Linked DNA regions of Elephas maximus indicus. The protein of the gene in region 4 purifies or fractionates together with the protein of the main gene of each other region. This does not show direct contact. Links are inferred from orthologs where the notes say so. Each region holds a gene or a part of one and is shown on either strand. Other genes may lie near its edges.

What was found.
Region 1: the proteins of WWP2 (region 4) and POLR2M purify together in Homo sapiens (affinity purification with mass spectrometry, with the first as the bait; 3 studies listed by BioGRID). This does not show direct contact. The link is inferred for Elephas maximus indicus from reciprocal best matches to the Homo sapiens genes WWP2 and POLR2M.
Region 2: the proteins of WWP2 (region 4) and GPN3 purify together in Homo sapiens (affinity purification with mass spectrometry; 3 studies listed by BioGRID and IntAct, with this or other methods). This does not show direct contact. The link is inferred for Elephas maximus indicus from reciprocal best matches to the Homo sapiens genes WWP2 and GPN3.
Region 3: the proteins of WWP2 (region 4) and AMOTL1 purify together in Homo sapiens (affinity purification with mass spectrometry; 3 studies listed by BioGRID and IntAct, counting the BioPlex papers as one, with this or other methods). This does not show direct contact. The link is inferred for Elephas maximus indicus from reciprocal best matches to the Homo sapiens genes WWP2 and AMOTL1.

Annotation. Positions count from the first base shown.
Region 1 is NC_064831.1:47,823,697-47,831,431, reverse strand, and holds the start of POLR2M (protein GRINL1A), read right to left. Parts: upstream 3,227-7,735; 5' UTR 3,082-3,226; coding exon 2,969-3,081; intron 1,073-2,968; coding exon 425-1,072; intron 1-424.
Region 2 is NC_064840.1:9,049,682-9,057,402, reverse strand, and holds the start of GPN3 (GPN-loop GTPase 3), read left to right. Parts: upstream 1-4,620; 5' UTR 4,621-4,782; coding exon 4,783-4,830; intron 4,831-5,325; coding exon 5,326-5,434; intron 5,435-7,680; coding exon 7,681-7,721. Other genes in the region: protein FAM216A, read right to left, coding at 1,586-1,626, 3,932-4,023. UniProt on the Homo sapiens protein: Small GTPase required for proper localization of RNA polymerase II (RNAPII). May act at an RNAP assembly step prior to nuclear import.
Region 3 is NC_064825.1:26,223,837-26,231,201, reverse strand, and holds the start of AMOTL1 (angiomotin-like protein 1), read left to right. Parts: upstream 1-4,243; 5' UTR 4,244-4,327; intron 4,328-7,365. UniProt on the Homo sapiens protein: Inhibits the Wnt/beta-catenin signaling pathway, probably by recruiting CTNNB1 to recycling endosomes and hence preventing its translocation to the nucleus.
Region 4 is NC_064839.1:36,064,946-36,073,051, reverse strand, and holds the start of WWP2 (NEDD4-like E3 ubiquitin-protein ligase WWP2), read right to left. Parts: upstream 3,013-8,106; 5' UTR 2,936-3,012; intron 1-2,935. UniProt on the Homo sapiens protein: E3 ubiquitin-protein ligase which accepts ubiquitin from an E2 ubiquitin-conjugating enzyme in the form of a thioester and then directly transfers the ubiquitin to targeted substrates.

The DNA.
Region 1 (7,735 bases), on a different chromosome or scaffold from region 4:
CAGTAAGCACTCAGATGCTTTTTGCTGAGCAACGTCCCTAGTGGCTCTCTAACTACTTTTCCTTAGCTTACAGGCTAATCAAAGGTGGAGCTCTGTAATGCAAGATGGTTCTAGGAAAAAAAGCATAAATTTCCTCTCTAAATTTCTGTTTTACTGTTAAATACTGATTAAGTATCCTGAAATTGAATATTCCCCCATCTGTCATTTAAAACCTTTTCAATTATTTGGCTAAAGCACTTAAGTGTTTTTTAACATGATTCCTCCACTCCAGCCAGGCTGTTGTTTTCCAAACACGTTTATTCCTAAGTACAAGCAGCTCTCACACAAAGCCCATGGAATTTTTTTTTTTTTTTTTTTTTAGTCTTAACTAACACTATGTTCTTTAACAAATGCTCTGTGATAGACCCATTCCAGTGGTACTTACACATTTGTTTTAAATTTATGTGGTGGGGGCACTGGGTTTTGGGCTCGCACTTCTAGCACTTCCATGTAATGTGGCTTCTTCTGGGCCCCACTACGAGGGCCTGTCAAGTTATCGGTACTTGTGTTTTCCCTTGAGCGGTGCTCCCCTGGGTCTGCGATTGTGATCCTTTGTAACCTATCAACAATCAGGTTGTCGGAGCTGCTGGAACTATCTTCTGCTTGTCTTGAAACAAGATGCTGTGGGAGACACTTGCTGGCTTCAGATAAGGAAGCGGCACTGGCTCCGCTGCTAGGAGCTGTGCGCCCGTTCACTATGCCCTCTGCTTCTGCAGTCTCTTCACTGCCTTTGTGAAAGAGATGTACAAGTCCCTGCTTTGGTGAAGCTGTTTTAGATGACTTGCTGTTATCTACAGAGGAGGAGCCAGGAACTGGTGGTGAAGTATGAAGTATCTGGTCAGAATTCTGAGCCTTAGCTGTGTCCACATCAACTCCTGCGGTCACTGTTTGCCTTACTGTACAGTCTAACCTAACAGGATGAAAGAGTTGACTTTTTCCTCTGAACTCTTCACGTTCTGCAACGGCCACTTTCAGTTTGGCAACAGAGTCTAAGATCTTTTTACCTTTGTCGGGCAATTTGCAAATGAATTTTCTGTCAAATGGAAAAGAACATGCATACATTAGAGCCATGTTTTCAAACTTCAGAGAAAATTAAAACGACAAAGCATTATCCTCAAAGGGAGAAAAGCTGGTTTTTAAATCAAAATCTGATTTTCAACTGCCCGGAAACGGGAATGAAACCAATTAAGGTAATCATTATCCAAACACCCCAATAATCAAGGCAGTACAAGAACAAGGAATATGCCTCATTTGTCTCATCCAATGAGAACTTAGTAAACACATTTAAGCATGTAATAATCATACATGACGTCCCAACAGATCAACAGTTTTGTAAGTATGGTCCTCAAGAGCCTCTTGGGGAGAAAGGGGAAAGGTCTGCGAGGTCAAAACTACTTTCATAAGAGTACTCAGATAGTACTGCCTTTCTCACGCACTTTTTCTCACATGGGTACAGTGGAGTTTCCCAGAGGATACCCTGATGTAGGGCACCACTGCTCTGGAGGCTCAATGGAATGTGTGCTTACATATCCTTGTTTTTAAAGATTTCTCAGTTGCAATTTCTAATAAATCAATAAATACTTATCGACATAACCCTCATAAACAAAAGCGTTTCTGGATCCTCAATAATTTTAAGTGTATAAAGGGGCCCTGAGACCAAAAAGTTGAGACAATTTGCTGCTACAGATAAAATTCCAACCTCGCCAAGTCAAGACACCCAAGTAACTATTTGCCCCCTCTGCTGGGTAGCAGAATTCCCTTTTCAGATTTCTTTTTCTATAGCCACACAATAAACGGGGACAGAAAGCTCACCAAAATTACATCTTAGGCCCTCTAGTCTTTCTCTGACACACAATCATTCCCATAGTGTCAACCATTAGCACCTCTCTGCAGCTCTGTGGTAGCTGCTATGTGTCCGCGTCCATGGTGCCCCTATTAGTGCATAGTAAAACTGCCCCATGGCATTTCCAAGGAGTGGCTGGTGGACTGGAGCTAGTGACCTTCTGGTCAGCTGCCAAGCTCTTAACTATTGTGCCACCAGAGCTCCTCTCTGCAGTTGAGATTCCTGTATTTTTTCCAGCCTTCTCTTCCCTAAGTTTAACAACCACTTCTCTAGCTTTTAAGTAGTCATAATTAGCCCGATGTCTATCCTGCCATATCCTAAACTTAGCAAAAGTCAATCTCTGGCCTATTCCCCTGCCCCAATTCAACCTCGAGCCTATTTCCCTCCCCAATTCCCCTAGTTTTGTTAATGGCTCTCGCAGCAGGCTGGGAACTTCAATCACCTCTGTCAACTACTTATTCAAATTACTCCGCAGCCACCTTCCTAGTTCACGTTCTTACGACCCCTTGTTGGAAACCCACCTAAAAATATCCTGTCTTCTGCCTCAGACTCCTTCAAACCCTCCTGCTACTAAATTAAACTCCTAAAAAAAAGTCACTTTTAATTTTTATTATATCACCCCTCTACTAAAACCCGTTAAATCCGAACGTGAGTCAAACTTCCTCGGCCTAATAAACCACTCTTTATATCCGACTCTTCCCATTTCCTACGGTTCCCACAAGAACAGGGTCTGCCAGGGAAACTGACATGGTGCTGAGCCGTCACCGTATTTGGCACTGTATGCGGGAGGGGGGCATATAAATGGGGCTGTGGCACACACCCTTCGTGGAACCGCCACAGTAGCTAAGGAAATTCAACCGGCTGAGCGTCCCAGAGCAGCCCAGTGGCTACGGCGGGCCAGCAGGCGAGCACCATCGAGACCCCGCGACGGCCAGCCACAGGCCGTCCATCGCCGCGGGGCTGACACGAAGCCGGCTCGGCAAGGTCACCTTCAGAGAAGGAACGGATGAGAGGAAAGGGAGGGGAGCTTCCCGGGGGGCCCGAACCGCGGGATCCCGGAGTTGGTTCGGCGGGACCCAAGCTTACTCGTTGCGCAAAAGTCTCTCCTGGCGCTTCAACATCTCCCGCAGCTCCGCCAAACTCCGCCGCCCCCAGTCCTCGGGAGCTAGGGGCTCGAAGCCGCGGGCCAGCGAGGACATTGTACGGGGGCTGCGGCTGGCGAGGCGGCGGGCACTCGGCTCCCTCGGCAGCCCCCGCCGCTAGCGCCGGATCCGCAGGCGGCGACGACTCTGGGGCGCGAGCGGGGGACGCCATTTTCCCGGAAGAACGGGGCTTCTTCGAGGCGAATCGAACTTTATTGACACAGCGGAAACAAACACAGACCGAGCGAAGGGGCCGCCGGGAGGAGCGGGAGAGGGCGGAAGTGACGGGGCTAACTTCAGCGGCCGGAAGGGCTTTTTTTCGCGCCTGTTTTTCGGGATTGATTCGACGGCGCTAGGTTCTAGGTTCTTTAGGGTCGTCTAGTCGTATTTTTTAATCTATTTCTTCGGAAAGTAGTTGAGTGCCGCCGTGACGTCACTACCCAGCGTATGTTAATGAACAAATCGCCACCGAAAGTAGAAGCCTGCAAGCCTCACAGGAGAAGCCCCTGCGCTTATGGAATTTACAGCATCGTGGAGGGGGGCAGAAAACCAAATAGTAACACAGTATGACAGCGAGATTGGGATGGACTTAGAGAAGGTATCCCTGAGCAATGAAATTTATGTTCAAACCTGGAGAAATGAAACACATAAGACAGTCATTACTGCTGGGTGGCGCAGACCGTTTGCGCTGGACTACTAAAGGTTGTTGGTTTGAACGCACTCAGCGGCACCACGGAGGAAAGGCCTGGCAGTCCGCTTTGTGCCATCGAGGTGATTGGGATTCGTAGCAATCCTATATGACACAGTAAAACTGTCCCATAGGACAGTTTCTTAAGCTGTAATCTTTACAGAGCAGACCACCAGGCCTTTTCTCCCAAGGAGGGCAAACTGCTGACCTTTCAGTTAGCACCCAGGCACTTAACCGTTGCACAACTAGGACTCCTTTCCATTACCCTGTGGAAGAGTTCTACTCTGTAACACCTGGGATCATCATGAGTCAACAGCAGCCTGTTTGGTTTTTTGGCCTACGGTGTGATTCCTCCTACCCTAAGGCTTAGCGAGGTCCTAGATGTTAACGTTAAAGTTGAAAGGTTCCCCAGTTATTGCTCTAGGCCATTTGGTGTCTGGCTTCTGCTGACTAGTTGCCATGACACTTGCAAGTCATCATAACAACCCAAAACACCCCACCATTCCCAAAGGTTCACAAGAGTTGAGGATGTCAGTAGGAGGTGTACAGCTGGCTGAGAATCTCTCTTTCACAACTTACTATTTTGCTGATGGAAATACAGAGGTACAAAACCTGATGTGAATATTCCCGGGGCACAGAACCAGTAAGTGATAGCCTCAGATTTCAAACCCAAATGCTCAGCTGCTCTTTCCAACATGCAACTCAGAAATGCTTTTCTTCGTTTCAGGCCTATTTCCAAATGTATAAAATTGGTAAACAAAACAAAACAAAACAAAATCGTTTTGTTTGTTTGAAGAGGAAGGCAATGTAAAAGGCATCACACCCAGCTCCCACTTTCTCTTTAGAGTTCAGCTCGTAGAGCTGTCTCCTGAAAGAAAGTGTAAGAAGCTTGCAAGCCTCATAGGAGATGTGGCTTTGGAGGCTTGAACATGCCCATGGGCTCCAGCACTCTTCCTGTTCTTTGATACGGAAAATTGAAGCTTTCTCAAAACCATGTCAGGCACCATTGCAGGGATTGCATCCAATGTCACAAAAGAATATGTGTATAAATTTTTGAATGAGAAACAAACTTGAGCTGTAAACTTCCACCTAAAGCCACAACAAAACTAAAAAAAAAAACTAATAAAAACCAAATATAAATGATAAAAAGGAAAAAAAATTGTGTAAGTTGCTATATAAACACAAAGCAGCTCCCCACCAACCAGACCGACAAACACTCTAGATAAAATCTGGAGCTACTCCCAGGAGTGTAGTTGCAGACTTTTCTGTATCTACCCCAATCTAGTCCATCTGATCAGATTAACTAATATATCAAAAGAAATTGCCTGCTTTCAAGAACTTCAGTAACCCGCTCCAAAAAAAAAAAAAAAAAAAAACCTAACCCGTTGCCATCGAGTTGATGTTAACTTACAGTGACCCTAAAAGGTCAGGGTAGAACTGCCCCTTAGGGTTTCCAAGGTGCAACTGGTGGATTTGAACTGTCAACCTTTTGGTTAGCAGCCAAGCTCTCAGCCACTGCGCCACCAGGGCTCCAGCTGTGGCTAAATAAGAAATAACTCAGATTAAAGTCCCCAAATGAGGTCCTAGTCACTCGGCAAGTTCCTCTAAGGCCTCCCTCATCCCTCCTCTAGGTTGCAGCTGGAGGTCTTTTCCCTGCCCCTGCCCCCCCCCCCCCCCGCCACAGTAGAGAACCCCCATACTCTGATCCTGGGCTACCGTTTCCATGGCAAGGATGCCTTTCTTTCAGGCCACAGAATTTTGTCCCCTGCCAGTTTCCCCTTGTAGAAGGCTATCCCTTCTCCCCTCGCCAATTATAAATCTTGGCTCAAAGCAGAAAAAGAAGGCCAGTGTGGAAGGCTGGAGCTAGATCCCATGGGGCTTTGTCGATCAAGATATGGAGTTGGGATTTTATTCTAAGCCATTTGTGGTAGGCAGCCTCTAGGATGGTTCCCAATGATTCCACCTTTATGTAATCCCTTCCCATTGAGTGTGGGCTGCCCTTACTCTCTTCTAACAAATAGAATACAGCAGAAGTCATGGGATATCACTTCCAACATTAGGTTATAAAAGATTTGAACAGACATTTCACCAAAGAAAATGTTCAGATGAAAAATAAGCACAATAATGTGTTCCACATTACTAACCATTAGGAAAATATGCATAAAAAATACAATGAGATACTACTGTACACTTATCAGAAAGACTGATGATGTCAGGTGTTGGCAAGGCTGTGAAGCAACTGAAACTCTTATACGTTGCTGGTGGAACTATAAAATGGTGCAACCACTTTGGAAAACAGTTTGGCAGTTTCTTAAAAAGTTAAACTTAACATCTACCATATGACCCAGTCACTCATTTGCTAGGTATTTATCCAGGAGAAATGAAAGCATATGTCCACACCAAGACTTGTACATAAATGTTCATAGTAGCTATATTTGGAATATCCAAAAAATATAAACAACCCAAATGTCTATCAGCTGGCGAATGGATAAACCAATTTCGGTCTATCCATACAATGGAAAACTATGGCACATGCACCAACTTTGATGAATCTCAAAATAATTATATTGAGTGAAATAAGTCAGAAAAATATGAGTGTATACTGTATGGTTCCATTTATATAAAATTATTTAAAATGAATACTAATCTACAGTGACAGAAAGCAGATTGGTGATCACCTCAGGATGTGGGGTGGCAGGGAGAAGTTGGGGGAGGGAGTCCAAGAGGACAGGAGGAAACTTTTGGGCAGGATGGATGTTCTCATTATCTTGATTGTGATGATGGTTATATGGGTATATATTTGATAAGTCAAATGAATCGACTTATCAAGTTATACACTTTAACTATGTACAGTGAAGAATGTGTCAGTTAAACTCCAAAAAGCTGTTAAACATCCCCCTCTAGCTTCCACCCTCTCTTCCATTTTCAGAGAGCAGATTCCAAAAGAATTGTCTACTCTCTTTGACTCCACTTCACCGCTCTTGCCAGAGCCATCAATCTCCTCCAGGGCCTCAAATCCAAGGAACAGGTTTTAGTCTTTATCTTCCTTCCTGCACCTGACTATGTTGACAACTTTCTCCTTCCTAAAACTCTCTCCTACCTTAAAGTCCATGGCACCAACTCTCCAGGCTTTTCAGCAAAGGAGTCTTTTGGCTCTTTGTCCTGGGGCTAGAATTATACTGAGTAGGCCCTTACTATCCAGTATCTCAAAGGCTTCTCAGGTTGAACATGCCCCAAATTGTACTCATTTATATTTCCCTCCCCAACCCACTCTTCCTGTTTTCATTCCTAGTCGCCCAACCTGGAAGTTACACATTCATGCTGGGCTGTTCTTTTTCCCTCAACCCAACAAGTCACTAAATCCTAGAGCCTAAATACCTTTCAGTTTCCAGTTGCCACAAATGGTTAAGCACTTGGCTACTAAATGAAAGTTGGCAGTTGGAAAATCTACCCAGAGGTGACTTGAAAGAAAGGCCTAGTGATTAACTTCTGAAAGATCACAGCCATTGAAAACATTATGAAGTGTAATTCTACTCTAAAACACATGGGGTCTCCATAAGTGAGAGCTAATTCAACAGCAACAGGTTTTGTTTTGTTTTTAATACCTTTCAATTCTTCCCCTTCTCCTCTCTACACTCTAATCTCTTCCACCCCTTTCAACTTCCCACCCCATATGCCCATCTGTCGGGGGACAGCCCCAGCAAGGAAAGACCCTCGCTGTGCGTCCTGGCAGATAATCCGAAGAACTGACACATAGCCCTTTCCAGATTCAGACGGTTATTCAGGGAAACTTACTTACACGAGCAAGCAGCTGCTTTCTCCAGTGGCGGCCGGCTGGAGTATTTTCCGCAACCACCTAGCAAGGGACCCACGCTTATATACCATTCCAGCTGGGACCAAGGCTCATCGTTTTCTCCCACGTCCTTGGGCAGTCAGTGTTCCCAGGGACTTCATGTCCAGGCCCAGATGTTTACCTTCTTGTTGCTAAGCCACTCTTCGGCCTTAGCCACTGTCCCAGTCATG
Region 2 (7,721 bases), on a different chromosome or scaffold from region 4:
GTCAAAATTTTTAAAATTAAGTTGCTATTTTTGATGAACTGTCTTATGTTATTATAGGAAAGTAGTTTATTTTTATGGAGTCTTGGTAGCACAGTGCTTAAGAGCTATCTACGGCTGCTAACCAAAAGATAGGCAGTTCGAATCCACCTACAGCTCCTTGGAAACCATATTGGTTAGTTCTACTCTGTCCCATAGGGTCACTATGAGTCGGAAACTACGACAGTGGTTTTTGTTTTGATTTTAGTTTATTGTTAGAGCGATTATAAAGTCTTACTAAATCTAGTTGAAAAATGGGTTTTGCTCATTGTCTTGATGGCTGTCAAATTTTAGTTGTGTTAAATCGGATTCAAAATAATACCCAGCTTCCCCTCTGAGAGTTGACTGTAATGTTTATATTAAATAGGGTGAGGCCTTAATTCCAAATGCAAAGGAAAACAATAAGTCATTTGTTAAGTACTAGCCTTTTTCTCCTGATTATAACTAATAACTTTCATTGTAGATTTGCGAAGTACAGTGTATAATAAAAGAAAGTAAAAACACTATCCCACTATCCATTAGTAACCATTTAAAACTTTTTGAAATGTTACCTTTCAGAGATTTTTCTAGGCATATATGTATGTTTTTAATGTGAGTAGGGTCCTACAGTATACAAACTTTTATTTTGATGTTTAGAAATTTTGCTTTCATATAATTGAATTGATTTACTCCATTTACTGATAATTGTTAAAATTTCTTCTTTAGAGAAATCATTTTCCTCCACGTCTGGGATGAGAAACAATTAATTTTGTGTTTTGTTTCTTTTTTACATTTAACTCTTAATTCAGTAAAAATTTTGATTAGGTAGGAATCTAAATTAATGAGACCAAAATTAAACACATTTAAAATGAATACATTTTATCTAATCACATACACACACGTAGCATACAATATGCATGCACATATTTTTTTCTATAAGGACTCTAAGGACTGTAAATTTTCCAAGGAAAGGCAAATGTGAGTCCAAGTTTATATATAGTTGGATTGAAATGAGACATTTAAAAACTACAACTACTGTGCTTTTTAAAAAATATATATTCTGAGATCAGTAAATTCCATCTCCCTTCTCCCCCCCCACCCACAAAAAAGCAATTACTAAGAGGTCTTTGGGGGCCTGTCTTACTCTGTTTACTCCAAGCAGAGAAGGAGTAAATACTTTGAAAGCACTATCATTTACTTCAAGTGAGAGGAAAATATCTGCATTGGGAAATATTTTTTATTCTTTAAAGCTGTTATATTTAGAATTTTTCCTTTAATCTGTGTTTAAACCCCAAGCTATGTGCTGTGCTTTTCAACCAACATCAGTTATAAAAGTAGCTAATTCAATTCATTGCTGATTTTGAAATACCTTTTTAAAAATGCTTGATGTGATATTGACAGGAGAGAAAGAACCTGCTGGATTGTTCCTTGAAAATCTTAAAAACTTAGTTCACCAACTATGCTAATGAAGCCTATTTTTAAAATTCTATTGTGTAAGTAGTTACAGGCATATTGGCTTCTCTGAACCAGGTTATTTATAGGTATTATTGGCTTTATATGCAATACTCACCAGTACCTTTGGAATTCTGGTAATAAGAATGTCCTGCTGATCTGTTTAAAAAAAAGGGGGGGGGGTAAATGATATATGATAGACAGCTTTATAGGCAATAAAGAGGTATTTAAAATGAAAAAGGGGCAGTATTCCATATAGCTTTTACTTTCCATGTTTCCAGCAGACATAATGTCTTGTAAAAGTTTTCTTGTAATTCTTGTTAAATTCTGCTAGCGCCAGGCTTTTTGAAAGTGAGTTATCTGTGACTTTTACCATACTAGAAACGATTTACTTTGGTTTTACTCTTACAGCCTCCCACTTCCTACAGTGCGCTCAGTAAAGTAGTATGGGCTCCTGTGCTAATCACGAGGCATTTTCTTGCTCTGTTTTAAGTAATCTGGATACTGAAAAGACTATCCTATGAACACAAAAGAAAATATTCTTTGATGGTTACGAGGGTGGGGAGGGAGGGAGAGGGGTATTCACTAATTAGATAGTAGACAAGAACTATTTTAGGTGAAGGGAAAGACAACACAGTACAGGGGAGATCAGCACAACTGGACTAAACCAAAAGCAAAGAAGTTTCCTGAATATAACCAAACGCCTCCAGACCAGAGTAGCAGGGGGTCTGGGGACCATGGTTTCAGGGGACGTCTAGGTCAGCCGGCATAACAAAATGTATTAAGAAAGTGTTCTGCATCCCACTTTGGTAAGTAAAAACACTCAAACACTAGCAAGCGGCCTTCTAAGATGCATCAATTGGTCTCAACCTACCTGGAGCAAAGGAGAATGAAGAACACCAAAGACACTAGGTAACTGTTAGCCCAAGAGACAGAAAGGGCCACATAAACCAGAGGCTACATCAGCCTGATACCAGAAGAACTAGATGGTACCCAGCTAAAACCGATGACTGCCCTGACAGGGAATACAACCAAGAGTCTCTGAGGGAGCAGGAGAGCAGTAGGATGCAGACGTCAAATTCTCATAAAAAGACGAGACTTAATGGTCTGAGACTGGAGAGACCCCAGAGGTGGTGGCCCCCGGACCTTCTGTTAGCCCAAGGACTGGGACCATTCCCAAGGCCAACTCTTCAGACAGGGATTGGACTGGACTATAAGACAGAAAATGATACTGACGAGGAGTGAACTTCTATGTGGGCAGCTCCTGTCTGGAGGCAAGATGAGAAGGCAGAGGGAGACAAGCTGATTGAATGGACGCTGGGAATACAGGGTGGACAGGAGGAGTGGGCTGTCACATTAGGGGGAGAGCAGCGAGGGTTACATAGCAAGGTGTGTATAGTTTTTGTATGAGAGACTGACTTGATTTGTAAACTTTCACTTAAAGCACAATAAATAAAAGACTATTCTATTCTTTGTTATATGTAATTGAGGTATGCTGGAATTGATAAATAGGTCCAGAATGTCTCTAATTCTGTACAAGTTCTTTTTTTCTTTTCTCAGATTAAGTCAAAACACCCTTCCTTCTCTCTTCCTCTCATTTACTCAATGACCAAGGGTTTATTGATTTCCTGATATATTTAGAATTCAGCAATTTCTCAAGCACTGTGAAGAACCGGAAAGAAACACACGACCCGTCCCAACTTTAAGAAGTCTTCAATCACCACATATTAAAAAAAAAAAAATGGTTGCAGCCGCAGCCATGACCATGGGCTGAATTGGGCAGCGAAAAGCCAATGGCTCTGGCTTTTACGGGAATAATGGTGGGAAGGGATAAGGAGGCATAAAAGCAGAGGCCTCCAGCAGTGACTTAAGCAGCTGTCTTCACCATCCAGGAAACAGTAAAAACATGCCCAAAATGAAATGGGTTAACGAAGAAAGGCACTTCATTGTAAAGAAAATGTCAAGATCAAGGTGCCTCTAATATTAATAGTCATCTGTCTCCCTGGCGATTATGAACTCCGGTTTGACACACACAAGGCTCTGGTTTATTGACTCGGAAGCCCTCGGAATGTGGGGCCGGGCACTTTTTCTCCCTATGCTGCCCTAACCTTTAAATAGAGCGACCTACTGCGGCCCAGCCTGAGGGCAACTTATCCAGCAAGTTTCTCAGCGCCCCCTCGGGGCGGAAAGGTGCACGTGGGCGACTGTCGGAGTCGCCGCCTTCAGTCATTGCAGCAAACCCTCCCTAGAGGCTTCCCTCAGAAGCCCTTCCCCTACACGGTGAACCAGTCAGCCTCCATGTTCCCATCCCGACCCCAACAAACGTTCCCCTTCTCTCACTCCAGTGCACTGGGGACCAGTCCATTCGCGGAGCAGCTCGCTCCCACCCCTCCTCCAGCCGGGAACCCCACAGCCCGGGGCTGTTCGCGGTGCCCTCCAAACCCCAAGGTCCCCGCAGCCTCACCCGCCGCCGCCACCCTCGGTCCAGGCCGCTGCGGGAGGCTCTGCGGAAGAGTTGCACTCGGTCCAGGTGGACACTGGCCCCGGGCCTGGCATCTTGTCTCCGGTGCCCTGAGCGCGAGCCGTGTGCGGGAGCAGCCGTCCCCTCCCTCGCCTCAGCACTCGTGAGTCAGGCCGGGAGATATTGGGGTGAAGAGGCGGACGCCGGAGTCTCGCCCCCTCCGACGCGGTCCGGACACTGCCCGAAGAGCTTCGGGAGAGCGGGGCGGGCTGATCGCGATCCCAGAGCTACGTTGGGGGAGGGGCCGAGGGTTCGCAGTTGATCGCGCCTTGGCACGTTTGCGTTTTTCTGTGCAGGGGATGCGTCACGGGAAGGAACTATACATTCTTCTTAAAACAAGAGGTGCCTTCCACCTCGATATTCCAGACCCTAAGCAAATTTGCAAATCTTGGGTGTCGCCATCTAGACCAAACATTCGTTCGTAAACCAAGAGCCAAAGCATCCGGCGCAAGGATGCTGAGCGTTATCCGTTATCCGTTATCACCTAGGCAACCAGGCTTCGCCTGTACTCAACCGTCGACTTCCGCAACTGCTTCTGCGCACGCGCAAACACCAGGCTCTACTCCACCCCTTCAGGCATTTCTTCAGGACGCGTTTCACACGGGCTTGGCCCGCGAGCCTCTCCGTAGTAAGACGTGTGGCAGAACGGGAAACGCCGGAAGGAACTTGGGTTGTGATTGGTCCGCACGTCGTGTTTCCGGAATTCCGTGGGCGTCGCGCGAAGGCGAAGCGGAGCGTGGTGGTCCCACTCTTGGTGCGGTGTTGCAGACGGTGCTGGGAACCCGAGGGCCGGTATGCCTCGGTATGCGCAACTGGTCATGGGCCCCGCAGGCAGCGGGAAGGTGAGGATTTGAAGGAGAGAAAAGTCGGAGTTCGTGGGGCGCTGGGGGTTCGGGTCCTGAGGTATGGAGAAGCGGGTGTATGTAGTGGGAACCCTGGGTAACTCTCTTCTGCTCTATTTCATTCTTTTGAAAGGGTGGTAGCAACAATTGCTAGTATTTGTCGGATGCTTTCGCCCCCAGATACTGCGCTAAACGCCTCATTGATTTTCCACAACAACTCTTTGAGGCTGGTCGCGTTTTTACTTCACAGAGAAGGAAAAAAAGGTACAGAAGGTTAAGTTCTTTGCCTAAGGTCACTGAGCTAGTAAGTGACGGCTGGAATATGAACCTAGTTTTGTCCAACTCCAGAACCGTAGCAGTGTTTTTCAGAGCTTGGTTGACGCAAGCATAGTTTTGGCCTTAGTGGACACTGCCTCAAGGGGTTGGAGAATTCTTCTAGGGGATAGTGGTGTCCCTGGCCTCTTCTCTCATTCCCCTGGCCTTGTGACATTACAGAGCACCTACTGTGCCACCATGGTCCAGCACTGTGAAGCCCTCAATCGGTCTGTCCAAGTCGTGAACTTAGATCCTGCAGCAGAGCACTTCAACTACTCTGTGATGGCCGGTGAGTCCAGGGAAAATCGGGGAGGTCAGGTAGAGTAGGTGCTCGCTGTTCAGGAGGAAAGTTGAGAAATTAGTTATTACAGTCAGCTCCCTGGTTTCCAAAATATGATTTTAGCACACATGGTGAACTGGAAAGGCAAAATGTTGCTTAGTGACAGCCACTCCTGATGTTGTGTCTTGGTCCTTGAGAAAAGAATTAAAAGTGAGTGAACTCCTTCCGCATCACCCTTCCCTTCTCTCCCTTAAATGCTTAGTCTAGCTGTAGTGAATCTGGTATAGTGCTGATCACACTATAAGTGAGCAGCCTAGGCTTTTGAGGTTTAAAAAAAACTTTTTTTTTTGTTTAATTTATTCATTCAAATGTTTTTTGAATTATTTTATACTAGACACCAGAGTTATAGCAGAGAACAGGACGATACTATCCCTGCCTCATGAACCTTTTCGTGGGGGAGATAGGCAGTAAATGAAGTGATAAACATCTGCACATTTGTATTAAGGACTGCAAACAGGATGATGGCGAATAACTGCAGGAGGCTGCTTTAGGTGGGGTGGGCATGGATGATGTCTCTTGAGGAGGAGATGTTTGAGCAGGCTTTCTGTCTCTCAGTATTTTTATCCCACTGGTAGACCTACTTTTTTGGGGATGCATATGGCCCAACAAGGTTTCCTCAACTTGAGATTCACATCACTCTCTGATCCAAGTGTCTCAGACCCATTAGTGTCCTTGGTTCATCCTTTTAGGAGACCAACTTTATTGTCCCAACTTGGGTCAGTTCTTTATCCCTGGGGGAGGGCCTAGGAAGATGTTATTACAGTAAAACCTGCAAAAGCTGGAACCTGTGTAAGGCCGAAACCTGTCAGAGAAAGAAAACTAAAATATTTTCTCCTAACAGAGAGCAATAGAAAAGTGGTAAGCTGCACCCTGTCAAAGGCAGAAAACTTGAGAGGCCCAGAAAAACAAAGCAGTCCTGTCGAGTTCTGATTCTCACAGGTTTTGCTATAGTATAAAAATGAAGCCCAGTTCTCCATAAGTGGAGATTGTGGGTTTGAGCACAAAGGAAAAACCTGAGGTAGAAAATTATAAGTACTGATTTGTCAAAATTAATAACGGTGAGAGAACCACGTATATACCAGGATTTTTTAAGCTCCTACAAACAGTTTGTAATCGACTACCAACCTAATCGACCCACTGGCAAAGGGTTTGGTTTTTTTTCCTTAATAGGTGGCTTGGGGGCAGTGGTTCCATGGTAGAATTCTCGCCTTCCACGAAAGAGCCCTGAGCTCAGTTCCCAGCCAGGGCACCTCATGCATAGCTGCCACCCGTCTGTTAGTGAGGGCTTTTGTGTTGCTGTGATGCTGAACAGGTTTCAGCAGAGCTTCTAGACTAAGATGGACTAGGAGACAAGCCTGGCAATCTCCTTTCGAAAATCAGGCGGTGAAAACCCTGTGGATGACAATGGTCTGATCCACAACCAGTCATGGGGATGGCCCAGGACCGGGCAGCATTTAGTTCCATTGTGCGTGGGGTCGCCATGTGTTGGGGGCCAACTTGACAATAGCTAACAACAGCTACAAAGATCAGTGGTTTATGTACATTCTCTTAGATAACCCTCATTCTTCCACCTCAGGATACATGATTTTTCTCCCCGATTTTACAAATAAGACAGTGAGGCTCAGGAAGGTTAAGCACTTCTGGTAGGGTCATCATGTTAAAGAATGGTGGTTGGGAAGAAAAATTTTTAATGCCGGCTAAGTTTTTTTGGTTGTTGTTGTTTGGTTTGGTTTTACTTTTTTGGAATAGGTAGTACATATTCACGTGGTTCAAAATGCAAAAGGTACAATAGAATGAGTATATAGGAAAAAGCCTCCCTCCCAGCTCTGTATCCCAGCTCCCCTCCCTTGAGGCAGCCAATATCACCTGTCTCTGGTGTGTCCTTCCACAGATAAGTCTTATGCAATCAAATACATACGTGTGTTATATATATGTAGTGATTTTTCATCTTTTTTTTTTTTAACACCAGTGATGGCGTACTTACAGAATTCTGCACCTTGCTTGAATTTTTCACTTAACGGTATACCTGAGAGATGGTATTTATTAGTATTTCATTCATTTTGTATCGGTGGACACCACGTACATAAGTAATTTCATACGTGTGAGTTTTTTATATAGTAGGTAATTCTTACTAGTAAGGTTAGGAAATTTTCTGTGGAAGTTTTGGTATCCTGGGCCCTGTCGTGCCTTTGCAGACATCCGGGAACTGATCGAGGTCGATGATGTGATGGAGGAT
Region 3 (7,365 bases), on a different chromosome or scaffold from region 4:
GGTCCTGAACAGACACTACCTTAACACACTCGCCAAAGTTTACTGATACCTTACTGTGCTCCACAAGACAGACACTGGACATACAATCATAAGCTTCACAAGTACACTCCCTGCTTTCCTGAAAGTTGCACCTAATGGGGAAAATTAACTGTCAAACAAGCAAATATAGTACTTTGACTCCAAGAGATGTCCTAGTAGCTACAAATGTCTAAGTATTATGCATTGTTTTGTAAATAAATAGATGGAAAATATAAATATCTGACCTATACTTCTCCTACTGTATCCAAAGCAGACATTGCTTATTGATTATGTTGCCCTTTCTATTGAGCCCCAACATCCTTTTCAACATTACTAATCAATCTGAGGTCTTGCTTGAAATGAAACACTTAGTATTCCAGCTAAGAGCTATGAATTATCTTGCTGATTCAAAAGGTAGCTGAAGGCTTCTGGGATGGCCAAGTAGAAACTTTTAGATCAAACCTCTTGTAGATACCCAGCCAAAAACCCAGTGCCGTCTAGTTGATTCTGACTTATAGCGACCCTACAGGACAGAGTAGAACTGCCCCATAGAGTTTCCAAAGAGCACCTGGTAGATTCGAACTGCTGACCCTTTGGTTAGCAGCCATAGCACTTAACCACTATGTCACCAGGGTTTCCCCTTTTGTAGGTAACAACTATAAATTCTGGATAAGATACAAAAGCAACTAGCTGAAGGCACCGGAGAGAGAACAAAATCAGACAGAAACTAGGGGAGAGTCAACTCTGCCTAACCTCTGGGTGACTCCTGATCCACGTATGCATGAGGCAGACTCTAAGCAGCCCAGCCAGGGTTAAAAGAACTGACCTGAAGTTTCAGCTGTTGCCATCAAGATAGAATTTTGCAGTCCAGCCACCTTAAAAGCCTGAATAACAAAAATTCAATACTTACCAGAAGAACAAAATACAATCCAAACTTTCTATAACATATCATTGGTAATGACCAGGATATACTTCAAAATTATTTAAAATACAATAAAACAGGAAAGCATGATACATTTTAAAAAAGAAAAGATAATCAATAGAGACCAACTCCAGTGCAGACCTAGATATCAGAATTAAAAAAAAAAAAAAAAAAGATTAGCAGGCAATAATTTTAAAGAAGCTATTATAGCCATGGAGCCCTGGTGGCACAGTGGTTAAGAGCTTGGCTGCTAATGAAAAAGTCAGCAGTTTGAACCCACCGCTCTTTCTTGGAAACCCTATGGTTTCTACTCTGTCCTGTAGGGCCTCCATGAGTCAGAATCAACTTGACAGCAATGGGTTATTATAACTATGCTCAAGTATGTAAGGAATAGGCTCATAATGAATGAAAATATAGAAAACCTTAGCAGAGAAACAGAAACTATAAAAAAGCATCAAATGAAATTTAAGAACTGAAAAATATAGTATCTGAAATTAAAAATCACTAAATGTACTTAATAGCATAAAGGAGATGGAAGAGGAAAGACTCAATGAACCAGAAGTAGATCAACAGAAATGATCCAAACTGAAGAACAGATTTTTTAAAAATTCACAGACTCAGGATCTTTGGGCAATACAAAAAGGTCTAGCATACATGTAATTGGAGTCCCAGAAAGAGAGAGAACTAATGCTTCAGAAAAGTATTTGAATAAATAATGGCTGCTAAGTTCCCAATTGTGTAAGATAAATTTGCATATACCAAAACCTTGACAAACACTAAGGATTAATATAAAAAAACAAAATTAAATAAATAAATAAAAACACCTAGACATATCCTACATAGTCAAACTGCCAAAAATCAAAGACAAAGGCAAAGAAAAAATCTTGGAAGCAGGCAAAGAAAAAAGATACTTTGCAGAGTAGGAACAATGATTTTAAATGCCACTGAAACAATGGAGGCCAGAAACAATGAAGGCCAGAACACAGTGGGTCAACATCTTCAAATGCTTAAAGAAAAAAACCTACCAACCAGAATTTTATATCCAGCAATAACATCCTTGATGAATGAAGATGAAATGAGACACCTTCAGCAGAACTAATTTGTCACGAGTAGACCTGCACTACATGAAAGACTAAAGGACATTCTTCGAAACAAAGGGAAATAAAACTAGATGGCTACTCGGTTATTCAGGAAAGCATAAAACATCTCAGATGGTAAATGGTGTAAATATAAAATACCATTTTCTTCAGCTTAATTTATTTAAACTACGTGATTGTTTAAAGAAAAAACGTGGCATTGTATTGTGGAGTTCAGAGTGTATATAAAGGAAATACCTATTACAGCTACAACATAAAGGAGGAGGTAGAGAGGGTAAATACACCAAACCAGTAGCAAGACTCCTATGTTTTACATGAAGTGGTACAATATTAACTCCCAGGAGTCTGGGAAAAGTAAAGAATATATATTTTAATCCTTAAAGCAACCACTAAAAATATAATGCAAAGATGTGTTGCTAAAAAGCCAATAACCTGATTCCGACTCATAGTGACCCTATAGGGCAGGGTGGAACTGCCCCATAGTATTTCCAAGGAGCACCTGGTGGGTTCAAACTGCTGACCTTTTGGTTAGCAGGTGTAGCACTTAACCACGGCGCCACCAGGGCTCCAAAAAGCGAATAGATAGATTAAAATGGAATTTTAAAATATGAATGCAAAAGAAAGCAAAAGGAGGAGCAGAGGAATAAAAAAAAAAAGGGGGGGAACAAAAAGAAAACAAATAGTAAAATGGCATACCTGGAAGTGGAGTGGGCTGTCTGAGGTCATTCACCCCTTAACTATCTACTGAGTGCCTACTGAACGCCAGCCTCTGTGCTAGGCTTTGACAATACTATGGTGAATGAAACAAAAATGATTCCTGCCTTCATCAGTCCTACCAGTGTCCAAACTCTGTTCCTCTTCTCCTCTTCTACTTCTATCATTATTTACACCCTGGACAGAAGACTAGCAAATTCTTTTTATAAGCCAGTCTGAAATGTCTTAAATTTCCAAGTTCAAAAACCAAACCTTTTCTAATGTTGGGCCTGAATACCTCTATCTGAACAGAAAAGGGTTTCTTCTTCTTTTAGCCTCTCTGGAGTGAAATGTGACACAAGAAAATCTGTCAAACCTCAGAACAGCTCAGCAAGAACCTGGACACATGCCTAGTGACCCAGAGTTACCTTACCCTCTCCTGAAGTAGAGTTGAGGAAGAAAGGGCAGTCAGCTGCCAAGCTGTCCACCCCACTTCTAACAGAGCTCACATCCATTGCCATTCCTTGTCCTGGCATCCCAGCCAGAAGTCCTGCCTGAAGTTTTTGCCCAAGAACCTGGCACCAAATGGGAGGTGCCTAGCACTGAAGTAACCGAGAATCTCTTGTTACAAGTCCAATTGCTCCAGCCTGACCCTCAACATACAAAAAAGCAATCCAGGCTTGGTTGACTAGTACTACAAGCTCATTGGCATCGAGTTGATTGCAACTCATAGCGACCCTATAGGACAGGGCAGAACTGCCCTATAGGGTTTCCAAGGCTGTGATCTTTACAGAAGCAGACTGCCACAGTTTTCTCCCTCAGAGCCGCTGATGGGTTTGAACTGCTGACCTTTCAGTTAGCAGCCGAGTGCTTAACCACTATACGACCTGAGCACCTTAGTACTTCATCAACAAAATGAAAATAACAAAATTTGGTTAGAATGGCTGCCACACTTCTTTTTTTCCATACAGTCGCTTGCCCCTCTGCACTAGCTTTCGCTTCAGCTTTGTATATGTGTACTTACAAATCCACCAGCTCTGAAAACCTCTTAGCAAGGTGATAATTTCCAGCTCCCTTATTGCCCTATCTGGGTTATTGCCCTTCCTCCAGACTGAAATGTCTTTGTTTCTCTCTCCCACCCCCTGCCCTCTGAGAATTTCTACCTCTCAGAAGTTTAAACCTGTTTTCCTTCCCTAGAGTACCGTTTTTTTTCAGACAGCTGAATTCTTAGAGATAATGATAAGACTCAGGGAAATAAGTGCATGGTTTCCTCCTCCCTGGCGCCGGTTAAGGCGATTGGTGCTTCGGGACGTTCTGAAGCTCTTTGAAAACAACAGGCTAGTCAGATTCCAAAGATTTACCTTCTGAAGGCTCAGCATGTCTGGGCAATGGTTGCATAATTTGGATGGAGTCATCACTGGATGGAGCAGAGTTGGCTCAGGCGGGGAGTACTCGTTGCTCTTTTTAAACTCCATGGCACCAGGGATGAAGTCACCTTTCTTCTTTTAAAACCAACTGACTTGCCCCGTGAGTCCCTGTCAATTCTGTTAGAACTTGGTGCTTTCTCCACTGCTGCACACCTAGGACCTCCTCTCAGGTAAGAAAACTCTTCTTTAGTGGGTTTCTATTAAAAAAAAAAAAAAAAAAAAATCCAGGGAAGGGGGATTTGAGGGGAACTTTGGAGGGCATTTGTTTGTAGAGGTGGGGTTAAGGTTGAAGGACACTCGATGAAATGAAAAGAATGGCTGCTTTCCAGGCAGCTGGTCTCCACCTGGTGGGTGGGGCAGCCCTGGGCTGGGTAAGCAGAAACCCCACTCAGCCCTGAGCTGAGACGGTGGACTCTCAGAGTGGTCAAGGACATCTAATCCAGGTTTGGTTTCTCTTAGTTGTTTAATGAACTGAGCACGTTGGTGAAGCAGCTGCAAGTGGTCTTCTTTGGGCTGGGGCCATTTGTACCCTCTTTTGCTTTCCTAATGTTTGGCTTTGTGTTTTGGATAGAATAACCCTCAGAAGGTTCTGATAACAGTTGATGTGCAGAAAAGCAGCGGCTCTCTGAAGAGCCCTCATTTGCTCATTAGCTGGCTTGAATGCTTCCCTTCTTCCTCAAGAGGGTAGGGGAGACAAAGGAGCCCTGGCTTCCTGTCCTGACATGCAAGTACCTTGTGTAAACAATGGCTGTGTGGCTGCAGGTGAGGCAGAAATGTACAAAAACATCTTAGTGCCTGCCCATATGAGTTCTTCTAAGAAAACGGACGTGAAATCTTGTTTTATGTGTGCACAGTCCACTGAAATCTCCCTCTGCTTTCTCTGAGTTATACAAGTCACTGTCACTGACTGAATCGTAGAGTCTTACTTTAGCTTTCAAATGCTCAGTAGAGACATTTTGGTTATGACACAGGCGCCTGCAGGGTGATGAATGGCAATTGGAGAGAGCTGAGCCCCTACGAAGTAGAAACATTTGAGAGTTGCAGATCCCCTTCCTTGATTGACACAGAGCCCTGCCACAAATAGCATTGGCTGCAGTCATCTATAACCTATGAAGGGAGCAAAGGATCTCATTTAGATAAAAGATGCTTTGTTTTCAAAAGGAGGGTGAGAATGGTTATACAACTTGAAGAATGTAATTAATGTCTGAATTCTACATGAAGAAATTACTGAATTGGTATATGTTTAGCTGTACATATTTCCAATAACTATCAGAAATAAAAATTAAAAAAAAAAAAAGATGTTTGGTTTTAAATGCAGTTGCATACTGGCTACCAGTTCTTGGTTACTCATTGACCTCAAACTCAATCATGCTCAAAATCCATACTCACCTGAAATCAGCTCCCCTTCTATGCTCCTAGCTCAGTGAAAAGCACCTGGTTGTCTGTGACAGATTTCTGGACTTCTCCTTTGACCCTTCCCTCTTCCTCACATTCCACATCTGGTTTGGCAAGTATCCAGCAGGTTCCAACTTAATATCTCTCAACTGCACCCAGCTCTCTCCACCTCCTTGGCCATTATCCTTGTTTAAGACCTTATCATCTTCTACCAGGAACACTGAAAGCTTTCATCTAGGCTTCGTCTCTCCAGTCTTACCTTCCTGGCAGCAATCAGAGTGATGGTTCCAAGATGATTGGTCAGCACCTGCACAATCCAATCAATCACTAATCTGTCGATTCTGTCTTCTTACTATGCCTCAACATTTCTGACATCTCTCTGTTCTACCTCTATTACCTTGGCTCAGCCCACAAGCACCCTTTGCCTGAGTTATTGCAGTTGCCTCCTAGCTGGTCTTCCTGCCACCAGGATCGTGCTCATCCTAGTATAAGACATCTTAAGCTTCTTGTCTTCCCAGGCTTCTGAGGGCATTTTTACAAGAACTTGGAACATGGGTTTTTGGAAGCATTTTCATTTTTATGACTCTTGTGGATTCTTCAAGGAAGTGGGGAGAGAAAAGGGGAGGAGTTAGGGGATATGTATTGCAGTGGGAAGAAAGCACGGAGAATGCAAGAAGCTCCCTTGGAGCCACACACGTTTGCATTTGAATCATAGCTGCTCCACTTCCTACTGTGGCTTTGGCCAAGTTTGTGAACCTTCTTGAGACTCATTTCCTCAACTATGAAATGGAAATAATAATACCTACTTTTTTTTTTACTTCACTGAGTAAATATAAGGGTTAATTGAACAATTATGGAAGACTCTGAACCAAGCAATTAAGAAGTTTTGGTTTCTTTTTTTCTTTCTTTCCCTTTTAAAGCTTATAATTTCTAATCACAATGTCTTGAAAGTATTTTTACATATGTGTGTGTATAATGATCTGTATTTAACATGGTGGAAAGAAGGCATGGCAAAGAAATATACGAGAACTCGCTTAAGGAACTCACCATCTACTTAAAGAGATAAATCAAACCTAAACAGCCCAAAAGCATCAATAAAACAAGCAATCTGTGATTGCCATGTATACGTTCCCAACTGAGTACATAAGCAGGAAAGGCCTGAGTAAGCAGGCATGTGAATACCTGCAGAGTGTAAATAATGCTATATCAAGCAAATTTATATTTAGGCTTCTTGGGGATTTAAAAATCCTTGGTCTCTCTGATGTTCCCAGTTTAGAGTGATTCTAGAACGTATAGATGTATGTTTAAAAGTGACCTTATTCATTCAGCAAGCATTTGTTGAGTACCTGCTCTGTGCTGGGTCTTAAAATATACACTTCTTTGTTACTCCTCCCATGGAGAGGTGAACCTGAGCTAACTTTAGGGACTTGCATGCAATGGAATGAGAAGGAAGTGATGTTTTGGGACATCCAAAGCTGGGTTCTAAGAAGTTTTGCAGCTTCCTCGTCGATTTCTTGTTTCACTCACTCTGGGGAAAGTCAACCACCATGTAAACTGGCTCTCTGGGAATAAAAAAGAGAGAGAGTGCTGAAGTATAGTGTTTGCCAATTTCCATAGTGTAAATAATCCCATCTCGGCCAGTTGCAAGCTATACCGAATGCAGAGTTGAGAAGAGGTATGCAATCAGTTCTTAAAAGGGCCACAAGCTGGTCCCAGAGCACCACTGCCAATTTTTCTGAAACTACCATGTTGAGAGACAGCCCAAGCTAGCTATGTGAAGAAAGTCCGTGGAGAAAAACCCAAACAGCCTCCA
Region 4 (8,106 bases):
TAGCCACATGACTCCTTCCCTCACTACTTTCAGATCTTTACTCAGCCATCACCTTCCCAGGGAGGCTTTTCTACATGCCCTATTTAAAACTGCAACCCCACCCAACACGCCACATTCCTCTTGTCTGCTTTCTCACAATATATATTTACTTCTTTGTTTTGCTTCTGCCTTTCCCCCCTAAAATTTAAGATCCACGAGGGCAGGGATTTTTGCCTCTCTTGTGTACTGCTGTAGTCCCTGCGTCTAGAACACTGTCCAACAGAAATATAAAGGGAGCCACAAATGTAACTTTTCATTGTCTAAGATCTACCTTTAACCCAATAAATCCAAAATGTTAACATCTACACTATACATATTGTAATGCAAATAATACAAAAATACCAAAAAGATGTGTTATTTTTTTTATACTAAATACTCAAAATTTTATACTTACAGCACATCTGAAACACTGGACAGCCACATATGGCTAGTGCCCACCATACTGGACAACGCAACTCCAAAGAAATGCCTGGCATAGAGTCGGCACTTATAGTCATTGAATGAAAACAACATTTTCCCTGAAATAAGAGCCAACTGTGGCATAGTACGGAGCCCTGGTGGCGCAGTGGTTAAGCATTCAGCTGCTAACCAAAAGGTCGGCAGTTCAAATTCACCATTCACTCCTTGGAAACCCTACGGGGCAGTTCTACTCTATCCTATATATAGGGTTGCTCTGAGTCGGAATAAGGTTTTTCTGGGTTTTATGAGTCGGAATCGACTCAACAGCAACAGGTCTGGTTTGGTTTTATGACACAGTACAGGGTTTTCTAAACCTCCATTATTCACGTTCTATAAGCATGATTTTTGCTGTGACCTTTATTATTAGTGTTTTTCCTTAAAATGCCACGTATTTTTATACTTGAAAAAAATATTTTCAAACAATGTTTTATTATGTTCATAAATGAAAAAGAACAACTCTGGGGATAAAATGACCTGGGCATGACTCCCTGCTTAGTCATTCACTAGCTCTGGGACCTAAAGCAAAAACATCTCTAAGTCTCGGCTTCTTCATCTGTCAAGCGGGGACAATATTTACCTTCACAGGATCCTGGTGACGATTAAATGAGATGTTTGTATAAGCTCTTTGTAAATGGGAAAGTAGTGGAAGAGACTGAGAAGCCAAATGAAGCCTTTCTCCCATGCCTATCATTTTCATATAGATCAATAATAGAAAATAGCAAGCCTATCAGATAAGAGCAAGGATAGACGATGTGAGTGCAAATCCCTTGTCTGCCACTTACCAGTGTGTGACGTCTAGAAATTAATTTATTCTCTAAACATTTGCCAAGTGCCTACAACATGCCAGACCCAAGGCTAGCAGCCAAATAAGCCAAATAAGATATGAACCCTATCCTTGAGGTATCTGTAGGCTAGTAGGGAGAAAGGAGGAATCCCTGGATAGCAAATGGTTAAGCTCTTGACTACTAACTGAAAGGTTGGCGGTTTGAACCCATGGAGAGGCATCTCAGAACAAAAGCCTGGTGATCTGTTTCAGAAAGGTCACAGCTTAAAAACACTGTGGAGAGCTGTTCTACTCTGCAACACATGGGGTGGCCATGAGTCTAATCCACTCAATGACAACTGGTTAAAAGGGAGAAAGGGACAGCAAACAAGAGCGAGCAATAAATTGTTAACAATCAATTCATCTCTCTTAGGCCTGTGTTCATTGTGAAATGGGAATAACACCTTTCCAACCTAACTCACAGGACTGCTACAAAAATTAATTTAAATATGTTCGTCAAATACTCCAAAAACTTGGACTCATAAACGTAAGTACTTTTTTCCCAACTTGTAACCCAAAATGATTCCTGTTTCTGTGAAGGTCCAGTTTGAACATTCCCTGCAGTTACACTGCACCATGAAGTTCATTTCCCTTTTGCAAATTTCGGTAAACGTGAAGAGAAAGAGGAGGGATGAAGAGCTTTAACGCAGATATTTAACCTCAAAATCATGATTCAGGCCAGAGTTCTCGCAAACACAACACAGACCTCTCAGTCACCCCTACCTAGTTACAGTTTGTCAAGATAAGGACTCACGTGGTAAGGGAGGCTGAATAATTTAGACCTAAGAAAAATGAAAAGTCATAAAGCAGTACAGGTGAACACTCCTCCGTCCCAGGTTTCAGCAGACACTATGTTGCTGAGATAATGCTGGGCTGGGTTGCGGTCAACAGTTTAGACTAAAAGCCATTTTACCGCCAAAGTGCCCATACTTTTTTTTTTTTTTTTTAAAGCCTTGACCATGACCTGATCTGGGAAAATCTCAAAGAAAGATGATCTGAAAGGCTAGGTTCCCAAGACGTGGAAACCCTACCAAGCAGGACTAAAGGGCTGGTGAGGACAGCAAAATGATCAAGATTGTATGATGCCTCCTTAAGTTTATAAACTGAACGGAACCGGAATCAAAGTCTCTGGTAACAAACATTTCCAAAGAGGAAGGAAAGAAAGAGACTCTCAGACGGGGTTCAGGAAGCACCTTCATCCAGTTCTCCCTCTTTCCCTCCAAGTCATTCTCACGCACCCTGTTCTAGCCCAGTTGCAAAGCACCCCTTCCTCCTCTCCTGATCCCTCCACAAAGGTCACTCCTTTCCATCCCTGGGCACCTAAGGTCCTCATCTTTCGGAATGACCTGCTCCCCGCTGCACCCCTGGCTGCCTTAGCGCCCTCCACCGAGAAACCCCCGCGCGCGGCCCGCGGCGCGCCCACCGACTCGGGCAGGAGCCGGGACACCCCTCCTCGGAGGCCGGAACCGCCGCGCCAGGCCCCTCCCACAGGAAGCCACCGCCCCCCGGCGCCCGAGCCGCGCCGCCCCCGGTCCACCCCGTGCCGCTTGTCGCCCCCCGCCCGCTCCGCGCCGCCCGCCAGCCGGTTGCGTTGCCCACGCCCGCGCTCACTACCTGCCGTGACCACAGAAGCGGTTTCCAACTCCTCTCCCACTTCCGCCTCCCACCGCCCTCACTCGGGCAGGGTCACGTGAGAGCGCGCGGTCACCTGACTCGGAAGAGGCTGGCCGGGCTCGCAGGTGTGGGCAGCCGAAGCTTGGCAGCGGTGTTTTTGGTCTTGGAAAGACTTTCTCATTGTTAGTATTTTTCAAAGTGTGAGGGTTTTCCATCGGCAGGCTGCTCCCCTAGCAGTCATGAATTGAGGGTTCACTGCGCGCCAGGTGTCTCTTTACCGTTCCCATCAATCCTGTTGAGGCGGGTATTATCATTACCCCCCTGCACAGGTGAGAGGAAAAGATTCAATGAAGTAAGGTTGCCAGAAAAATACAGGATGCCCAGTTACATCAGGGCAGATTATCCGATAGGCAAGGTAAGCATGGTACTTACTTTGCTTACCAGATCATCAGTAGAGAACAAATCTCACATGTTTTCACCACATAAAAGATTCTGCTTCTAGGTATGGCTAGCATCTGTCTGTTTCCCAACACCACAACACCTTCCTGCAGAATCAAAGCTTCTTTACAAATGCACACTCCCTGACAGGAGTGAATGACCCAGTAAGCAAAGTAAGCACAAACTTACTTATGCTTGCTACTCTGTACTGAACAATTTTATCATGTAGTGAAACCGACTCTACCACATCTACCAGTGAAACCCTGCATACCTTGCCTATTGAATAATCCACCACTATAAACATCACTTTTTTGTATATGTCGCATCTGATATTTAAGTATGTCCTCCACCACTATAAACACCACTTTTTTGTGTGTATGTCCCATCTGATGTTTAAGTATGTCCCGGATATTTCATGTTGTTGCTGTTGTTAGGTGCCATGGAGTTGGTTCTGACTCATAATGACCCTGTGTACAACAGAACGAAACACTGCCGGGTCCTGTCCCATCCTCACAATCGTTGTTATGCTTCAGCCCATTGTTGGAGCCACAGTGTCAGTCCATCTCCTTGAGGGTCTTCCTCTTTTCCAAGGACCTTCTATTTTACCAAGCATGATGTCCTCCTGCAGGGACTGATCCCACCTGATAACATGTCCAGAGTATGTAAGAGGTAGCCTCGCCATCTTTGCTTCTAAGGAGCATTCTGGTTGTACATTCTCCAAGGCAGATCTGTTCATTCTTTTGGTGGTCCATGGTATGTTCAATATTCTTCTCCAGCACCACAATTCAAAGGCGTCAGTTCTTCTTCGATCTTCTTTATTCATCGTCAAGCTTTCACATGCACAGGAGGCGATGGAAAACACCATGGCTTGGGTTAGGCAACACCTTAGTCTTCAAGTTGACGTCTTTGTTTTTAAACACTTAAAAGAGGTCTCTTGCAGCAGAGTTGCCCAGTGCAGTGCTTCCTTTGACTTCTTGACTGCTGCTTCCATGGGTGTTGATTGTGGATCCAAGTAGAATGAAATCTCCGACAACTTCAGTCTGTTCCCAATTTATCATGATATTGGTTATTGGTCCAGCTGTAAGGATTTTTGCTTTCTTTATGTTGAGGTGTAATCCATACTGAAGACTGTGGTCTTTGATCTTCATCAGTAAATACTTCAAGTTCTCTTCACTTTGAACAAGCAAGGTTGTTCATCTGCATCAGCATGTTGTTAATGAGTCTTCCTCTAATCCTGATGCCCCGTTCTTCTTCATATAGTCCAGCTTTTCAGATTATTTGCTCAGCATACAGATTGAAGAGGTATGGTGACAGGATACAACCTTCATGCACACCTTTCCTGATTTTAAACCACATGGTATTTCTTTGTTCTATTCAAACGGCTGCCTCTTGAACTATGTACAGGTTCCTCATAAGTACAATTAAGTGTTCTGGAATTCCCATTCTCTGCAATGTTATCCATAATTTGTTATGATCCACAGAGTTAAATGCCTTTGCATAGTCAATAAAACACAGGTAAATATCTTTCTGGTATTCTCTGCTTTCAGCCAGGATCCATCTGACCTGATCAGCAATGATATCCCTGGTTTCACATCCTCTTCTGAATCCAGCTTGAATTTCTGGCAGTTCCCTGTCAATATACTGCTCCAGCTGCTTTTGAATGATCTTCAGCAAAATTTTACTTGTGTGTGATATAAATAATATTGTTTGATAATTCAGTGGGATCACCTTTCCTGGGAATAGGCATAAATATAGATCTTTTCCAGTCAGTAGATGTCTTCCAAATTTATTGGCATAGACAAGTGAGTACTTCCAGCACTGCATCCATTTGTTGAAACATCTCAGTTGGTATTCTGCCAATTCCTGGAGGCTTGTTTTTCACCAATGCCTTCAGTGCAGCTTAGATTTCTTTCTTCAGTACCATTGGTTCCTGCTCGTATGGTACCTCCTGTAATGGTTGAACGTCAACCAATTCTTTTTGGAATAGTGACTCTGTATTCCTTCCATCGTCTTTTGATGCTTCCTGAGTTGTTTAATATTCCCATCATAAAAAAAAAAACCAAACCCATTGCCGTCGAGTCGATTCCAACTCATAGTGACCCTATAGGACAGAGTAGAGCTGCCCCACAGAGTTTCCAAGGAGCGCCTGGTGGATTTGAACTGCCGACCTTTTGGTTAGCAGCCGTAGCACTTAACCACTACACAACCAGGTCTTCCATTTCCACCATAGAATCCTTCAATATTTCAATTCAAGGCTTGAATTTTTTATTCAGTTCTTTCAGCTTGAGAAATGCAGAGCATGTTCTTCTCTTCTTGTTTTCCATCTCCAGGTCTTTGAACATGTTGTTATCATACTTTGTCTTCTCGAGCCGCACTTCGAAATCTTATTTAAACTCTTTTACTTCATCATTTCTTCCTTTTGCTTTAGCTACTTGGCATTCAAGAGCAGATTTCAGAGTCTCTTCTGACATACCTTTTGGTCTTTTCTTTCTTTCCTGTCTTTTTAATGACAGTCTCTCGCTTTCTTCATATGTAATGTCCTTGATGTCGTTCCACAACTCATCTGGTCTTCGGTCATTAGTTTTCAATGTGTCAGATCTATTCTTGAGATGGTCTCTAGATTCAGGTGGGATATACCCAAGGTCATACTTTGGTTTTCATCAACTTGTTCTAATTTTCTTCAGTTTCGACTTGAACTTTATATGAGCAATTGATGGTCTGTTCCACCGCCAGTCAGCACCTGGCCTTTTTCTGACTGATAATTTTGAGCTTTTCCATTGTCTCTTCCGACAGATGAAGTCAATTTGATCCCTGTGTATCCCATCTGGCAAAGTTCACATGTATAGTCACCATTTATGTTGGTGAAAAAAAGTATTTGCAATGAAGAAGTCGTTGGTCTTGCAAAATTCTATAATGGGATCTCTAGCATCGTGTCTATCACCAAGACCATATTTTCCAACTACTGATCCTTCTTTGTTTCCAATTTTGCATACCAATATGCAGTAATTATTGATGCATCTTGACTGCATGTTTGATCAATTTCAGACTGCAGAAGTTGGTAAAAATCTTAAGTGTCTTCACATTTAGCCTTAGTGGTTGGTGCGTAAATTTGAATAATAGTTTTATTAACTGGTCTTCCTTATAGGTGTATGGATATTATCTTATCACTGACAGCATTGTACTTCAGAATAGATCTCGAGTTGTTCTTTTTGACAATGAATGCAACGCCATTCCTCTTCAAGTTGTGGTTCCCAGCATAGTAGACCATATGATTGTTGGATTCAAAATGGCCAATACCAGTCCATTTCAGCTCACTAAAGCCTAGTATATCAATGTTTATGTGTTCCATTTCATTTTTGATGACTTCCAATTTTCCTAGATTCATACTTCATACATTCCACGTTCTGATTATTAATGGATGTTTGCAGCTGTTTCTTCTCATTTTAAGTCATGCCATATCAGCAAATGAGGGTACTGAAAGCTTGACTCCATCCATGTCGTTAAGGTTCACTCTACTTTGAGGAGGTAGCTCTTCCCCAGTCCTCTTTTGAGCACCTTCCATCCTGAGGGGCTCGTCTTCTGGCACTATATCAGACAGTGTTCCACTGCTAGTCATAAGGTTTTTACTGGCTAAATCTTTTCGGAGGTAGACTGTCAGGTCCTTCTTCCTAGTCTGTCTTAGTGTGGAAGTTCAGCCAAAACCTGTTTGCCATGGTTAGCTCTGCTGGTATTTGAATACCGGTGGCATACTTCCCAGCATCACAGCAACACACAAGCCCCCACAGTATGACAAACTGACAGACAAGTGGGGGAAATACTGCATGGGATATATTTATACTAAGGAGCTCTGGTGGCACAATGATTAAGTGCTAGGCTGCTAAATGAATGGTTGGCAGTTATAACCCACCTAGGAACTCTGTAGGAGACAAGACCTGGCAATCTGCTCCAATAAAGATTACTGCCTAGGAAACTCTACGAGGCAGTTCTACTCTGTCCTATGGGATTGCTATGAGTTGGAATCAACTCTTTGGCACACAACAACAACAACATATTTATACTTAAAAAGTATTCATTGTTTATCTGAAATTTAAATTTAGTTGGACATCTTATATTTTTATTTGCTAAATCTGACACTTCTACTATGTGCCAGATGCTGTTCTAGACTCTCTTATTGTTGTTGTAAGGTGTCTTGGATCACTTCCAGCTCACAGCAACCCCATGTACAACCGAAGGAAACACTGCCTGGTCCTGCACCATCGCCACAATTGTTACGCTTGAGCCTATTGTTGAAGCCACTGTGACAATCCATTTTGTTGAGGGTCTTCCTCTTTGTCCCTGACCCTGTACTTTATCAAGGATGGTGTCCTTCTCCACTGACTGATTCCTCCTGATGACATGTCAAAAGTACATGAGACAAAGTTTCGCCATTCTTCCTTCTAAGGAGCATTCTGGCTGTACTTCCAAGACAGATTTATTCATTCTTCTGGTAGTCCATGGTATTTTCAGTATTCTTCACCAGCACCATAATTTCAAGGTGTCAGTTCTTCTTTGGTCTTCCTTATTCATTGTCCAGCTTTCACATGCATATGAGGTGATTGAAAATACCAAGGTTTAGGTCATGCACACCTTAGTCTTCAAAGTGACATCTTTGCTTTTTGTTCTAGGCTCTAGAAACACAAAAATCCCAATGTTAGTAGAGCATGTGTTCTTGTGACATAAAGCAAAAGTAGAAG